Alligator mississippiensis: one gene and its partner. The protein of the gene in region 1 binds, or shares a complex with, the protein of each later gene. Links are inferred from orthologs where the notes say so. Each region holds a gene or a part of one and is shown on either strand. Other genes may lie near its edges.

Region 1 (8,122 bases):
CAACTGTAAGCGTAAAAGCCAAGATGATTCAGTTTTGGTATTTCCACCACCTTCTGCACCCCACCTTTTAGAGAATAAACCTCAAAAATCACTGTGCTGATATTTCTTACCAGCCTTTTAAACTGCCAGGTTTCATTTAACTTGTATACCTCAGGGGACTAATCTATTTTAGCTGATTTTCCACTGAATTACTTAACCATCAAAGTTAGATACATTTAGAAGAGCATGGACTTGTGTGGCCTGTTGACTTTGCATTGACATTATGGTGATACAGCCAAGGCCCAGCTTCAAGAACACATTTCATGGCAGGAGACCAGAGGGAGAAAATGTGTTGGTCTTTACTTTTCAGTATCCACTACCTACTAGTAGTCTACAAAAATCTACTCATGCAACCCTCTAGCTAGTAGTAAGATCCCATAAATTATGCCAATAGAGAATGAGACATCTTTCCTCTAATCACTGCCACACACATTTAGAAAGCAAATAAATGTCAATGCAATGCTAAAGCCTTTATTAAGGAAACATATCAATAAAACCATCCAGATTAATCTGAGCCTGTTTAGTTGTAGCAACTGCAGTTAAAAATGTGACATACAACTTAGCTAAACAACTTCCCTTTCCCAGCTATATCCCCTCTTTATTCTTTCTTACTGAATTGATCAGGTTCTCCAGGAACCTCTCTTATACCACTCTATGGCTATTTTTTAATTTTTTTTTGGTACTGTTCCTGTAAGTAGACTCTCCTCTACAGCAGAATGAAGCTGACACCACCTTCCTCAGTTCATCTGAGGTTGCTCATGACTTTCCAGGTGCACAAGAAGCTCCAAAAAGTTATATCCAGTATGCAAAGAGAATAAATTCATTAAGTTCTTTCAGAAGAATAAGCACCCTTTGAACATCACTCTGCTTGAACATCTTAGAAGCAGCTTATAACAGACAGCCTTAAATCAAGCAAGCTTCTGCACACAACTAAATGAATTAGATTAGGACTTGCCATACTTTTAGCAATAGGCTTTTGATGAGCAGAAAGATTATACCAAATCATATTAACTGTCACACAACTTGTAGTGTAGAAAAAACACCTGCCAGGAACAAAAACAACAGGATAAGTTTCACAAGATGACTAGTGTCAAAAGTTTTCTAAAAGGTGCAGTAATTCACTGAAATACCTTGCTCATCCCAGGAAAAAGGTCTTTACATTAGCATCTAAATAATGGTACTAGAAGAACAGTAATTTTTCAGCTTCATGTTGAAATGAATGATGAAAAATGAGGAACTTACAGGGTTTTTGTCTCATATCATTTGGTATCAGAAGGTAACTACTTATGTAATAAACAATCAGAAAGATGATATTAAATATACTGTTTAATATACTAACAGCTGAACTGCTCATCTGAGGCTACAAGTAGCAACATAGGCAAAAAGCTTGCATTGCACTCAGTTAACAGCAGTACATAAATGAAAGGTATATAATTTAATAAAGATTATGAACTGTATCCACTGAAGTCAAACTGCCTCTTCTTTTTTTGTATTACAGCAAAGATTTTTTGCACAAACAGGAAGTGGTTATAAAAGTTTGAGGGTTTTACAGCTGAATACAAGATTGCTCTTAGAAATTGGCTAATATACAACAGTCCTGTGAAGAGGAACTCCTGTGTTATCATTTTTCTTCCCCCTCTTATTTTAGGGCACAGGTGTACCATGTGATCAGCATCTCTGCTAGAAGAGGTCATCCCAGTCTAAAGTTAACAAGCAAAAGTTGTCTTGGGGAGGTAGTGGTGGGAGTGGGGAAAATATTCTGTATTCCCTCCCCTCCATCCCCTATCTCTTGCTAAAAAAAAAAAAAGGTTGTCCGTCCCCCCCCCCCCTTATAACCACTTCTTCCTTCCCATTAAATAGTTTCTCTTCTGTCAGTTAATTCAGAGCATCTGATTTAAGTAGGTAGTTGCCTACCAAAGCTCATGCCTTTCTGAACCACTTAGGCACTTAGGGTGAGACACCCTACTTTTTGCCTTCTCCTTAGGGCTTGATCAAGTTGCTATCTAGGCATCGCATAGATATCCAGTAGTCTATTTTAAGGAAGGGGTCCACACATTAAGCGTGTCTATATGTACAAAATATCAGTGCTAGGATTCAAACAAGTAACCTCATTTTGCAGTTCAGATAACTCATGGGTAAACTCACCTCTATCACATTGATGCGAATGCTGTGAAAGACAAAGCTCAGTCACCAGAGGATCAACTGTTTTACTAGCCACAATCTAACCTAAAGAAAAGGAAGCTGCTTCCAGGATCAGCATACAAGGGCAGGTTTACCAGGTAACAATCAAAGTTCCAGCTCGCGAGCCAGTTACAAGGGAATTTCTAAGACACGCAGAACTAGATACAACATCTGTGTGACCCAGTCACCGCTGGACAGTATTTTTGCTAAATGTAACCAGATTTTCAAGGGAGAAGATTTAAATTTTTGAAGACGAACAGACAACTTTTAGGAAAGCCAAGTCGCTTTAATAAAAAGAAAGAGAAGCTCTGGCATAATTAGACAGGCCCCCAAATGCCCCCCTTTCCATGTTTCTATGCCGACTCTTCTATTAAGTTGGCTGGACTTGTGCCCAGAGTTGCCAGGCGGACGTCACAGGAGACCAAAGCCCCTCCTAGAGGACAGACCCGCCTCACGAAGAGGCCAGGCCTGGCCTCCCAGGAAACGTAGGGGTGAACCGAGGATCCGGGTGAAGCTCTGGACAGCCGGACAACTTCCTCCTCAGCGCAGGAGCGGCCCCCCAACCCGAGCCGCGTTTCTCGGCCGAGCCAGGGGCTGTTCAGCCTTCCCCAACCCCAGGCCGCATCGGCAGCCGCCCACGCCCGCCTTCCCCCGGGCCCTGGCGGCGCAAAGCGACCGCGGGCGGTGCCTGCTCCGCCGCCAGAAGCCGGGAAGGACCCGGCGGGCCCCGCCGCAAGGCCAGGACCGGGCGGCGCCGGCGCTGCAGGCCCCGCCCTCGCCGCCCGGCCCGGAGCAGGAAGAGCCGCCGCGCCTGCTCCCGCCGCACCCAACCAGGCCGCACCGCCGCCGCAGAGTCCCGGCGCGCTGTCACCCCACGGGGCCCGGCCCGCCCGCGCCGCTGTACCGCCGCGCCGGGGAGCGGGACGCGCCCGCAAGCAGCCCCGGGGGCGCCGCGCCGGGAGCAGGCGGGGGTCGGGGCCGCGGCGCTCGGCGCGTCCTTACCAGGTGCCGGCGGGCCCGGCCCGGCGCGGAGAGCAGCCCCGCGGCGGCGGTGTGAATCCAGCGCTCCCGGCGCCTGAGCCGGGCGCAGCTCCCCCGCACAAGCTTGGCGGCGTCTGACAACCGCCCGCTCCCATTGGCCGGCCCTCCGCCTGACGTAAGGCGCCGCCAGCCGCCCATTGGCGCTTCCTCGTGTGTGTACACAATCCACCCGCCAATCCCAGCCGCTGCTCCGGCGGGGGCGGGGTGGGGCGGGGTGGACCGAACCGGGGGCGTGGGGCGGCGCATGCGCCCTAAGAGAGTCCAGTTACCTTTGACCCCGGCCCTGGAGCGACGGGGGACGAGCGCGGCTTTAATGGGCCCCCTCCCCCGCTGAATTGCATAGTGAAGGGCACGGCCCCGAAACAGGCAGCGCCCCGTGCCGCAGGTGCCGGGTCCTGCATGCACTGGGCAGGGAAGTGCTGGGAGCAGTGGCACCTTAAGGGTTAACGCGGCTGCTTGCCCGCAGGGCTGGACCTTGCCCTGGGGGGTGGGACCCCGGGGTGCTGTGAGGGGAGGGGCAGGGCATCCTGGGATGCTGGAGGACTGCAAGGCTTATTCTCAGCTCTGGGACTGAAGCAAGGAAGCACGGGCCAGTTACCCCTTGCCTGAGGTGTTGTAACTCTGAGATGCTGAGGGTACCGGGCAGAAGTTATAAAGAAGCTAAAGGTGCACTGAAGAGCAATGGAGAGAAGCCTGGACAAATACAAACCTGCTGCATAAATACATCTTTAGCAACCTTACTGTCCCCCAGCCAGGATTTGTCCTACCAACAAAGATTTGGTCCTCCTTGAATCAAATTTGGACCCTTCATGGAAAATGTGGACACTAGCTCCATAAATGGAGAATCAAAGAGCATCCAGGTTGCAACTGTGATGGGATTTTTCAGGGCTGTGTGGTGCAATTTTTCAGATGGTGCAACACATTGTGAATGATTGCCCAATTAAGATCTTTTAATGGCAATCTAAAATTAATCCATGCAGCTACCCCTGAAGCAGTCTAATGGCTATGAAATTTAGATATTAATCTATGAATGTTATAATCCTAAAATGGCAAGTTTCTTTGAGTAGGTGTGATTTTGTTTATTAGACCAACTGAATAGTTAGAAAAAGGTCTTAGCAAGCTTTTAGGGGTAGTCACACTTCTTCAGGCATAGGGAGTCTCTGCTTTTCTGAGACGCCAAGGAATGAGATGCTAAAAGTGGCAGGGTGTCAGTGAGAATGTAAATAGGTAGAAATTAGACAAAAGGTAAAGCAGGGAAGGGGGGGGGGAATAAAGGGGGAAAAATAGAATAGAAGGGAAGGACCACTCCCCTCACTCTGGTGGCAACGCTCCTACTAATGCAACCCTTGTATGGTGTTAGCCTTCTTTGCAACAACAGCACTGTTGGCTCATATTCAGCTTACTGTCCGCTGTAACCTCCACATCCTTTTCTGCAGAGCTGTTGTTCAGTCGAGTCAGTTCTCAGCCTGTACTGGTGCTTAGGATTCTTCTCTCCTTGTTGCAGGATTTTACACTTGTTCTTATTGAGCCTCATAAGATTTCTTTTGGTCCAATCCTCCAATTTGTCTAGGTCTATCTGAATCCTAGCCCTACCTTCCAACATATCTACTACTCCCCACAACTTGGTGTCATCTGCAGACTTGCTGAGGGTATACTCCCACCTTTCAGGTCACTGATGAAGATAGTGAAAATAAACAGCCCCAAGACCAAGCCCTGGGGGACTCCACTTTATACTGGCTGCCACCTAGACATGGAGCCATTGATCCAGCCTAATGATCTAGCCAGTTTTCTGTCCACTTTGCAGTTCATTCATCCAACCCATACTTCTTTAGTCTGCTTGCAAGAGACCTTGCCAAAGTCAAGGTATACCACATCTACTGCTTTCCCTGCATCTACAGAGCCAGGCGTCTCATCAGAGCAGGTAATCAGTTTGGTCAGGCATGACTTGCCCTCACTGAATCCATGCTGACTGTTCCTAATTACCTTTTCCAAGTGCTTACAAATGAATTTCTTGAGGACCTGATTTATGTTTTTTCCAGGGACTGAGGTGAGACTGACCGGTCTATAGTTCCTTGGATCCTGCTTCTTCCCTTTCTTAAAGAGAAGCACTATTATTTGCCTTTTTCCAACTGTTATGAGTTTTCAAAGATGGCCAGCGGCTTTGCAATCACTTTGGCCAACTCTATCAGCACACTTGGGTGCATTGCATCTGGCCCCACAGACTTACATGTCCAACTTTTTTAAATAGTCCCTGAACTGTTATTTTGCCACTGTTGGCTGCTCACCTCCTCCCCAAACTGCTACCAGGTGCAGTAGTCTGGGAGCTGACCTTGCTTATGAAGACTAAGGTAAAAAAGGCATTGAGTACTTTAGACTTTTCCACATCCTGTCTCAAGGTTGCCTCCCCCTTTCAGTAAGGGACCCACACTTTCTGTGATCCTCCTTGTTGCTGACATACTTGCAGAAAGCCTTCCTGTTACCCTATACGTCCTTTGCTAGCAGCAACTCTCCAACTGCGCTTTGGACTTTCTGATCTCACCCCTGCATGCCCAAGTAATGCTCTCATATTCCTCCCTAGTTGTTTGTCCAAGTTTCTACTTATTGTAATATTCCTTTTTGTGTTTTAGCTCACTGAAAAGTTCCCTTCTTAAGCCAAGCTGGTCTTCTGCCATACTTGCTAGTCTTCCTGTTTATTGGGATGGTTTGTTCCTATGCCCTCAGTAAGATTTCTTTGAAGTACAACCAGCTCTCCTGGATGCCTTTCCCCTCAGACTGGCCTCCCAGGGGATCCTGCCCATCAGTTTCATGAGTCAAGGTCTGCTTTTCTGAAGTCCAGGGTCCTTTTTCTGCTGTTCTCCATTCTTTCTTTCCTCAGGATCCCGAACTGAATCATCTCATGCTCGCTTCTGCCCAAGTTGCCACTCACTTCTACATTCCCCACCAATTCTTCCCTGTTTGTGAGCAGCAGGTCAAGAAGAGCACAGCCCCTAGTTGGTCTCCAACAGTTGCACCAGGAAGTTGTTCCCAGCACTCTCCAAAAATCTTCCTAGATTGCTTGCGCACTGCTGTATTGCCCTCCCAGGAGATGACTGGGAGGGTGACTGAAGTCTCTCATGAGAACAAGGACTTGTGATCAGGAAACTTCTGCTAGCTGTTTGAAGAAAGCCTCATCCATCACATCCTCCTGGTCTGGTGGTCCATGGCAGACACCCACCACAACATTACTTATGTTGCTCTCCCCTCTGACCCTAAGCCAGGAATAGATCTCATCCCTTTTTGCTGTGCGTTTTGAACAGTACTGGAAGATTAACAATATTGACATTTAACAGAGTGGAAGAAGGGAAGATGTAGGGACCAACTTTGGCTTCTCATTTCAGTTTTAGGGATCCAGCTCAAATCAGGGATGCAAGCTAATGGCACACAGTTGCTCCCTGTTTACTTTCCAGCAGGCCTTCTCATTCCGTTATGCTGATGGATGGATGGAAGAAGCAGCAGGTGTCTTGGATGGCAATAAAACAGCCTCTCTCACCTTTAGACCTAAAAGGATTCTGCATAGAAGGAAGTTTTCCAGTGGTCTCCTCTTCAGTTTCAGGACATGATACAAAGCAATCTTGCCAAGCTGAAGAGTCTGGGTCTTTCTTAAACAGAAGCTTTCATTCTGAAGCAGAGTATGGAAAAGAACTGTACTAGATTTTTGACCAATTGTGAGTCACTCAAATTCAGTTTCTGTTTGTGTTCTCTGCTAGCTTCATGTCTGCCCATCTCCCCCTCACACCAGGATACAGATCTTCTAGGAGAGAGAGGTTCTGTCTTCCAACACTGGATTCCTAATGTAAAACAGAACCAAAGAACATAGCATTTCCACAAATATAGCTCGTTTGATTCAGTCCAGATTAGATAAAACAATATAAATACATCATGCACACACATTCTTGCAAAAAGGGAATTCTAAAAGAACATAAAGACTCGAAATTATAATTAGATGCTGGTTTGAATAACAGCTTTCTACATAATTTATTCATTAGTTATTTTATTCCAGTTTTAAAAACAGTATCAATAAAGTAATTATTAAAAAAATAGACACATTTGTTTCAGCTTTAGCACAGAATAATCATGACGGCTTTGAAAATATTAATATCGCTACAGACTTTTTAAAGAATGAGACAGTACTTGTAATGACTTTTAACGATATTTGTATTAACTCACAAAGTGCAAAATTATGTATTTTATTACAAAATTAAAGAAATGAATGTATCAGATGGAAACCATTAGCTACAAAAATTTGGGGACAAAATACTGGTATTTAGTATTGATCGGTGTTCACTTTTATATTCTGACTTACTATATTGCTCATCTAAGGCCTAGGAACCATAATGCCATAACATGCACCATGGACAAAAGCCTCCTTATGCAAATAGACTGTCAAGTTAGTCCAAATATGATCTAATACACACAGTCAAGAGGGGTAAATTCACAGGGTAAAGTCTACCATAAGGAAAAAAAAACTCCTGCTCCTCCCAGAAATGCCCAGAAAAATATAACTTACTGCATACCCTAAAGGATATCAAATCCAGGCTTTTTCAGATCAAGGGAAGTAAATTCCAATTTAGAGAGTCCTTCATAGAAAATAAATGCCCTTGTAATAGTTAGGCAGTGGTATTCTGCACCAGCTTCAGTTTGAAAGTGATCTTAAAGTGAAGCCCACTACAGAACAAATTTATCAAATTCCAGTCCGACAAAGGCAAACAAGAAGCATCCTTTGTCACCGCTCCCATAGCTTCTTCCTTGCCCAATGATTAGAGTAAGAATCCCCTGCCCCGGTAACCACGCCCTCACTGATACATAGTAGTAATAATATTCA
Region 2 (8,265 bases), on another chromosome or scaffold:
CTGAGGATTGGAATACCCCACCCCCACCCAGCATCTCAGGAAGCTACTGAACAGGTCTTGCCACCAGACATTTAGGAACTCTTCAAAACTAAAGAGGTCTTGCTACAGCAGATGTGGACCAAGGGAAGGAAAAGAAACTGGAACAGAACTCTGAAGCACAGACATTCACCCCCTTGTTTTATATAAGTATTGCCTTCAAGAAAAAATGGTTGCCAGTGCTCAGGAGTTATACAGGGTGTCAGACTAAAACTGCCCTGTTAGAGGTACCCACTCAGCAACTCAGATTTTTCTTGGTTCTTCCATAATAGAGCCACTGCCCTTTCATGCACCATCATACAGTTGTGCCAATGTGAGCCAGGACAAGCTATGAAGCTCTGATCTTGTTGGCTATACATCACAAACGAGGAACCAGCCAGGGAATCAAAGCCTTGCCATAGCAACCTCAAATCAAGCACCTGACTTGATCACCCAGGAAGTTTGTGTCAACAGGCAAAGCAGAAGCTTCACACTGATGCTTCAGCAAAATGCCTGGGGCAAATGTTCAACCACAAGAAACTGGAGTTTCAAGAGCACTTGCCAAGACTTCTCATGAATTTTTACTGCACCTGCTTCTTACCTCTCTTTAGTGAGAGATGAGCTGGATCATGAAGGAAGTGGGTGGGAAAGAGGGAAATATGGTAACGGAGGCCTGTTAACAGTGGGAACACCCCAAAAGCATGACTGTGGCTGGGCTGGACACCTCCCTGCAGCATGAAGTCTCAGAAACACACATGACAAGAAGCAACTTGACTGTTCAAGGAATGAGCTTGGCATTGCTCATACTCCTCCAGATATCTGACTGTCAGGTTAAGCTACACACAGGCAGGAACCACCCCCTTCCCAGGAGCTTGAAAAAGGAGTTTGGACCCTGCTGCTCATACACGTGTGTGTTAAGAGCTTTGCTGACCACAGGCACCAGGCTGCAGTCTGAGAGGCTTTGAGAGGAACTCCTCTCAAGAGCACCTGAGAACAGCAGGTCACTTTGGGAGGATTCTCCCAAACACGGGCTCAACAGGAAGCACAAGCCCAAGCACTAAGCATGACAGCACAGAGGAGCAGTAACTGCATGTTTTCCAACCCTCCCAAATAACAATATCTTATTATGGATTTCTGAACCAAACAGCAGCCTACAATTAAACCAAAAGGATCAACTATAAAGCTGTTGCCCCCTGCAGGCCCCTCTGACTAGAGGGATGGGCTGCTGCAGAATAGTGTGTTTCAAGGGCAAAGCTTTCTCCTGGCTCCCTATCCCCTCTGCTGAATTAAAGCATAAGGATTCCAAACTGGAACAGTGACCAGTCTCATCTCAGGATCCATGGCCAATGATGCACAAGGGCTTAAGATCCTTATCATGGACTTGGCAGTGTACAATTAAAGGTGCGTTCCACACACAATCTGTCTCTCTCGGGACCAGAACTGCAAGCCCTCCTTGCTTTACACTTGATCTCGCTGGAGATGCTGGCCTTTTAAATCAACCTAGTAAGCCCTGTAAACAAGTCAAGACCCCAGAAAGAGGGAGAAAAGACTACTCCAGTGATCTCCCTTACTTCAGTGGTCTCTTATCTTGCGCTAGGAAAAGCATGGGCAAACCACTGTTTTCAGTGAGGCTCCCTGAGGAAAAAGGGGCACTGCATGTAGCTTCTGAGCTTGCTTGGAGAAACAATGGGAAGGTCCCCCGGTGCTGATGCTGAAGGAGAGAACCCCTGTTCCAGAAATCTTACCCTGAGGATTTAAAAAACATTACATCTCAGGGAGAGCAAATAAGCACATGCAAACAGACCCCACCCTGGGACAACAGACTTCTGCAGGACTGTGGCCTTAATATCCTGCAGCAGGAAGTGAAGCCTTTACATTTATACTGTTGCAGACTTTTGTCATAGCAGCTCAAGGAACTCACTGAGCTCTGGGAACCAATGGAGAGGCTTGGGGGCACAAATAAAATGCACTACTGGGACCTGGCCTTAAATGGAGTTCTGCTATGGTGAGGACCCCACTCTCTCAGGCTTTCCATTCCCCAGCTACTTATTTTCCCAGGTTTTCAAAAGTCAGCATTCCTCCCTCCTGTACAAGGCACATCACTCCCTTATGTGTTATCTACCTCACAGGCAGATGTATCAGGGCCAGAACTTCCACATCCTCCACTGCAACCTGTTCCACTTCACTACTTCACAGCAGTTATCAACAAAACTGGAAATGCATCTGAAGACAGCATGAGCTGCTGCTTTCATTTCAGGCTTCCTTTATGCAGTGCTGCCCACTTGGTAGCTCTGTTACACAGCCAGAAAACAAAGTGTGGCAGCCTTGCTCGGGGCCTCTGCCTACATCACCTAGCTACGTATTAACAGCGTACTGCCCTGCGCGGTGCCCATGGGGGCCCAGCCGGTGCAACACAGTCAACCTCTCCCAGTAGGAAAACACCCGAGGAGCGGAGCCCCGGAGGTCAGTCAAAGCCGCCAGGGCGCTCTCCTGAGCGAGGGGCAATGAGGCCAGCGCGCGGGGAAAGCGGCTTATGGCAGCCCCCGGCCGAGCTCCCCTGCATCCTACGCCCGGTCCGCTCGCCGCCGCCTTTCCGCTGGACTGCGCGGGTTCCGACCAGCCGCCCCACGGCAGCCTCGCCCGCAGGCTCCCCGTTCAGGTGCAAGAGGCGCCGCGTGGCACAGCCTCGGAGAGCGCCCGAGGCAAGCGCGCGGCGGGGCTAGGGAGTGAAAGCGGCATTACCGGCGGGCGCCCCAGGGCGGGCCTCTGCGCGGCGGGTCCCGGCCGCGGAGCCTGCGGGGTGGCGAAGAGCAGCAGCTCCGCCTCGCTGTCTCCGTCGGGCGCGGGCAGCTCGCCGGGGGTGGAGATGATCACGATCTGCTGCTCCACCACGCGGAGCCCCCCGGCTGCCCCCAGCAGCGCCTCCAGCTCGGCCACGCAGGCGCTGCCGCCATCCCGGGCCACCTCCAGGCCATCCAAAGACATCCTCCGCCCGGCGCGGGCTCACATCCCCGGGCGCTCACGGGGAAGACCCAGCGCTGCTCCCCTCGCCCGCTCCCGGCGCTGCGTCCACCCGGGGATCACAGCGGCCTGGCGGGCACGGCGGCACAGCCCCGCCAGCGGCGGGCAAAGGCCACGGCCGGGAGAAGCGGCAGGGCGCCGCGGCCCATACTCAGCCCGAGGAGGCGCAACCAGGCAAGGCCCCGAGCGCGGCGGCGACCCAGACCATCTGCCCCGGCCCGGCCACTGTTATTGTTCCCAGCTGGTCCCGGCCCCGCACGCGTTTGCGCGCCAAATCCTTTTTGCCGCGAAAGCAGCACGAGCCGAGTGCGCGCGCTCCGATTGGCTGCACCCGTCGCGTCGATACGCAACGCCGCGGGCAGCCGCGTCCCCATTGGTCGCGACCCCGGGATTGATACGCAAACAGCATCTCCCCATTGGCCGCGGCGGGGCAGCCGGGAGGTTTCGGAGTGACTGGGAGACCGTTCTGACAGTGGCCCAATCACAGAGGCTGCGTCGGTCGGAGTGGGGAGGGAAGGGGGCCGTGGGCCAATCAGCGGGGAGCTGGGGGACGCTGAGCTGGGGCCGCTGGGGTGAGAGGGGTTCGAACCGGGGCCTTAAAGGGGAAAAGCGCGGCACGGGCGCTTTCCCTGTCCCGGGGCTGACGTGAGCCCGGGCTGCCCCGCCTCTTCCTGGCACCGCCCCAGCGCTGGTCTCACGCTCCGAGGTCTCCCTCTGGGACTGAGACCCCTCCCCTCGCTGCCCTGCTCAGGACGGCGGCGTCTTCGCGCCTTGCACGAGGGCACTTGGCCAGAGGCTGGCGCGCGTCGCCGTAGCTGATGATCCTGTCTCAGCCATCCCCCAGCTCACCCCGTGACTTGCGGCCCACGGGGTGTGCCATCAAGTGCTCTACCTGGACCACGAGTCTCCAGTTGGAAGGGCAGGCTGGGAGCTGCAGGCTTCAGGAAACGCACCTGACTTAAACACCGGGAGAAAGGAATAGAGAATTAAAAAAAAAAAGTGTCTGTGTGTGCCCATGCATGCAGGTTTGTGCACATGCGTTCATGTAAATGCATCTCTGTGTGGGTGTTTGTCAGCTGTGTGCATGCATGCGTGTGCATGTGCCCACACCTATATGCATCAGTACAAAGACATACACGGGTGAATGTGGCATAAAAGGAGCAGGCAAGGCTGGTAGCAAGTCAAATGATCCCCCTAGGTATCTGTGATGTGGTCTCTTGTTCTTGAGTGGGTGCATGCAGTAGAGGGTTGGTTTCTTTAGTTGCTGCAAACATGACTTGCTTCATAAAGCATTTCTTCCTTTGGCATTACGGGATGAGGCCAGCTGTTTGGACTTTGCCCCCAGTAGGACTAATCAGACTCAGCAAAATTTACAGTTATACAAAATTGCCTGTACTTTGTCCATATGACAGAGTCCACCTTGGCTCTGAATGGCAGAGCTGTGACAATTTGTGAATGATTGATCCAAAGTTAGACTGCTGATGCCACCAGGGGGCTTCCTGGCATACCTGTAGTCTGGAAAATGCAGTTAAGAGAAGGTGTCCAAATCCCAGCCCTTTCAATTCATGTATTCAAAGTCAAGATCCATATGAGGATGGGTGGGTTAAGGGACAACACAAGAAGCCAGCAGCAACAAGAAACAGTTCTTCACACTTCCCTCCCCCCACTTTCTAAGGCCAGTTGACATCCTGGATTCCTCTCATTCTGACTTCAGACTAAGGCACTCCTAGCCGCTTTCATAGATGACATCTTTCTATCTGTGGACAGGTCCATACCTCCAGCCTCATTATTCTGAGCCTCTTTCTAGAGCTTGTAGGTAGTGTTACAAAACACTTTTGCACTGTTCCAAGTAGCTGTAGGAATAGATGATAAAGCTATGAAATGCCTTAGATTTCTCCTCAGAGACCAAACCCAGAGTCTGACACAGGGAACTAATGCTCTGTTTCCAAAGCCTTCCATTCTGGAGCCTAGTCCCCACCTTACAACATCCAATGTCTACATGGAGCTGATGAGATACTGTAGCTTGAAGTGCCGCCATTACCCAGATGATATCCAATTCCATCTCTTCACGTCAACTATAAACAGCAATGTCTCTCAGCTTCCTTACTGCCTAACTAAAGCTGAAACCATTTTGAATGCAACCATCCTGGGAGGGAGAAGGGAGTGCTACAAAGAGTTTGTCAGCTCTGTGGCATCCCCCCTGTTGGAATTCACCTTCCCTTGGGTTGTCATGTGTGTCCTCAGCTGTGCATTCCCTTCAGATTTCATGGTACTATTGGTTATCAAATAGCTTGCTAGCAAATAACCCCAACATTTGATCCATTGGATACTGAACTCAGCTAAAGATGCCCTTTCCAGTCCTACCTTCCTGTGTTCCCCCTATGACTGGTCAGATAATAATGACTATCCTATAAGACAGACCTGGCTATAGGTCCATATGTTCCTCACCTTCAAGTGTGGCTATTGCAAGCCATGTCTAGACATAAAGCCTCAAATTCAGAGATAGTTGAAGTCTGTCCCTTTGGCCACCTTCTATGAACATCTTTCCCATGCACTGCTTTCTACAGTCACTGCCTAGTGGACAAAGTCTAGCTGAAGGTCTCTACTGTAATATTCAAAGTGCTCTAGGTAGCTCTCCTTTAGTGAGACCATGCTGTCCTTCTACAGCTATATTCCACGTGACAAGAAGTAAAAGCTCACTTACCAGAGTGCCCCTTGGGGTATCTAGAAACAATGGCCACAAAGTGACAGGGAGCAGATTTAGGCTGGACATCAAGACGGACTTCTTTATGGTAAGGGTTACCAGAATCTGAATGGGCTTCCAAGGTAGGTGGTGCTCTCCCCTACTCTGAAGGCCTTTAAGAGGAGACTGGACAAGCACCTGGCTGGGGTCATCTGATCCCAGTGCTCTTTCCTGCTCAGGGCAGAGGGTCAGACTCGATGATCTACTGAGGTCCCTTCGGGCCCTAAAAATCTATGAAATCTATGAATGAAGGACCCAATTCTTACAGGTTCTGGCCCCAGGAGTTATAGGAATAACTACAGGCCTCATCACTCTCAGAATTAAATGTCAGACTCATTTCTTTAGTGGTGTGTTCCCTCACTAGCTTCTACAGGCATGCATATGCAGTCCTACAAATTCATCAGACTCCTTTTCTAACATGCCAAGGAAGAAAAGAAAGAGAGGGGCAGGCATTTCTATTTAAAATACTTGGGAAGTGTTTGGCTACTTAGAAGACCTCTAAACATGGGATACACAAATCACTGGCATAATGTCCTCATGGAAGTGGTGGGAGTCTTGACATTGGAGTCATCTGAGAATGGTTGGGACAAAACCCCACAAGATATACTGTGAAACAGACAGAAACAAGGAGAAACAAGAGGCCTTAACACTCTTCATTGTATATTGATTATTTTCCCATGGGGAAGGGAATGGACCTTTCTGGAAAACTTGTTTGTTTTTACTTTAATCTATTTCTGATGTTCAATGGTAAACAGCACCCACCTGATTGTTTCTGGACAGTAATGCCTTGTCCCAAAATGATTGTGTTTCTTTCAGAATTAAGATCTTCTGAAAGGTGGGGGTTTTTAATTCATTTTTCTGGTGAAGTATGTCTTCATTGAACAAAATATAACTAGTGTACTGGCACATCTTATAGAAATTAAACAGGAAATATTGTCATAATACATTTAATAATTGCATGATTGTATTGGGGTACCTGCAGAGAAAATCTGGAGGTCTCATGAGCTGTCTTTGTCTTTGGCATGTCTTTAAGCTATAAGATCTGGGAGACTGCGAAGGCTCAAATTTGTACAAAAAGCCCAAGCCATTGAATGGAAAGAGAAGAAACTTTACTGTATTTACTACCAGTCTCTTGCTGTAATTGTATCACATTAGTCAGTGTATATACATGCTTCCCCTTTATGTCCTTTCACAGAGGATACCAGTCTTTAACAACTCAGCTATTTAGCTTAAGCTGTAGAGATTGATGATTTTGGCTTTGGTGGTCTTATATTCAGTACCTGTTGCTAGCCAAGGTGGAGACAATCTTGACAGCACACTCCTGAGTCTTTTCTCCAAAGGCCTAACTGGTAAGAAAATCAGAGTTATGTTGACTTTGCTGTGCAACACTTGTTCATCCATATTCTATACAGCCATGGGCAATTCAGAGCTGAAAAGGCAGATAACAGCAGAGTCCTCTAGTATCTCTAAATGTGCAGGGGGCTATGGTAATACACCCACAAAACATGGCATAGATTGTAGAGTTCCCTCCATATGCATCTCCATGTGTAGGAAGCTGATAAGTTGTTTTACCAAGTGAGAAGTCTAAATTAAAAAAAAAGGTACGATGAGAAAGCACATTTATGAATTGCGCCTTTTCTAGAATTGTAACTTATATAGACAAAGGTTTACAGAAAAAGAATCCCAGATTTTTTATTAAATACTCACTTCATCCATTACTGAAACATGGTTGCTTCTGGTGTGAAACATGGAAGCTATTTATTGACTCACGTTCACCATTTGAAAGAATATAAGAGAAAAATGAACAAATATGCCTCTAACTGAGCCTGAAGGGACACTCCTAAGGAAGCAGACTGTAATAAGCAGTGACAGATTATGGCTAGAATATAAGTCTGTTTACCTTGTAAGAAGTGCTGGGAGAAATGAATGACCTTTAGTAGTCAGTCTGTCCACCTTACCATGAAAAGCATAATGATCCTTCAGCACCAGCCTGGGGCACTGACTCAATGATACCCCAGAAAGGTGGCAAAGGATACAGTAAAAATGGGCCACATAATAGTCAGTCAAAGTCAATCAAGATTGTACTAGAAATCTTAGCCATATGTTTAAGTGGAATCCTGGGAGAGGAACTTGCCTGTTTCTGGAGGTCTTCAGTAGTGCAGTTTCACTAAATTAGAACCCTGGAAGCACTCTAGGATAGTAGTGACCTAGTTAATATAGTTACACCCACAGTGAAGACTCTTAAACATTGAAGATCACAGGCAAAAAAAAAAAAAGTCAGGTAGAACATAGACACTACAGAAACAGCTCGGAGAACTGTTTGATTCACTAAGTATCCTGCAAGCAGCAAACACCTGCAGCTGCTGCCTGACAGCAACCAGTAAAGGCTTTTACACAAATACAGGAAAAACCAGTTAAGTTGAAACAAAGCCAGTCTTACCACTCCATTCTAGAGACTTGCCCTGTCTTTTCAAAGAAGGGAGCTG

What was found. The genes of interacting proteins can lie anywhere in the genome.
Region 2: TFDP2 (region 1) and E2F1 share a complex: the UniProt entries of both Homo sapiens proteins name them as parts of the DRTF1/E2F transcription factor complex. The link is inferred for Alligator mississippiensis from reciprocal best matches to the Homo sapiens genes TFDP2 and E2F1.

Annotation. Positions count from the first base shown.
Region 1 is NC_081830.1:56,276,439-56,284,560, forward strand, and holds the start of TFDP2 (transcription factor Dp-2), read right to left. Parts: upstream 3,348-8,122; 5' UTR 3,223-3,347; intron 1-3,222. UniProt on the Homo sapiens protein: Can stimulate E2F-dependent transcription.
Region 2 is NC_081832.1:27,211,934-27,220,198, reverse strand, and holds the start of E2F1 (transcription factor E2F1), read right to left. Parts: upstream 3,368-8,265; 5' UTR 3,001-3,367; coding exon 2,758-3,000; intron 1-2,757. UniProt on the Homo sapiens protein: Transcription activator that binds DNA cooperatively with DP proteins through the E2 recognition site, 5'-TTTC[CG]CGC-3' found in the promoter region of a number of genes whose products are involved in cell cycle regulation or in DNA replication.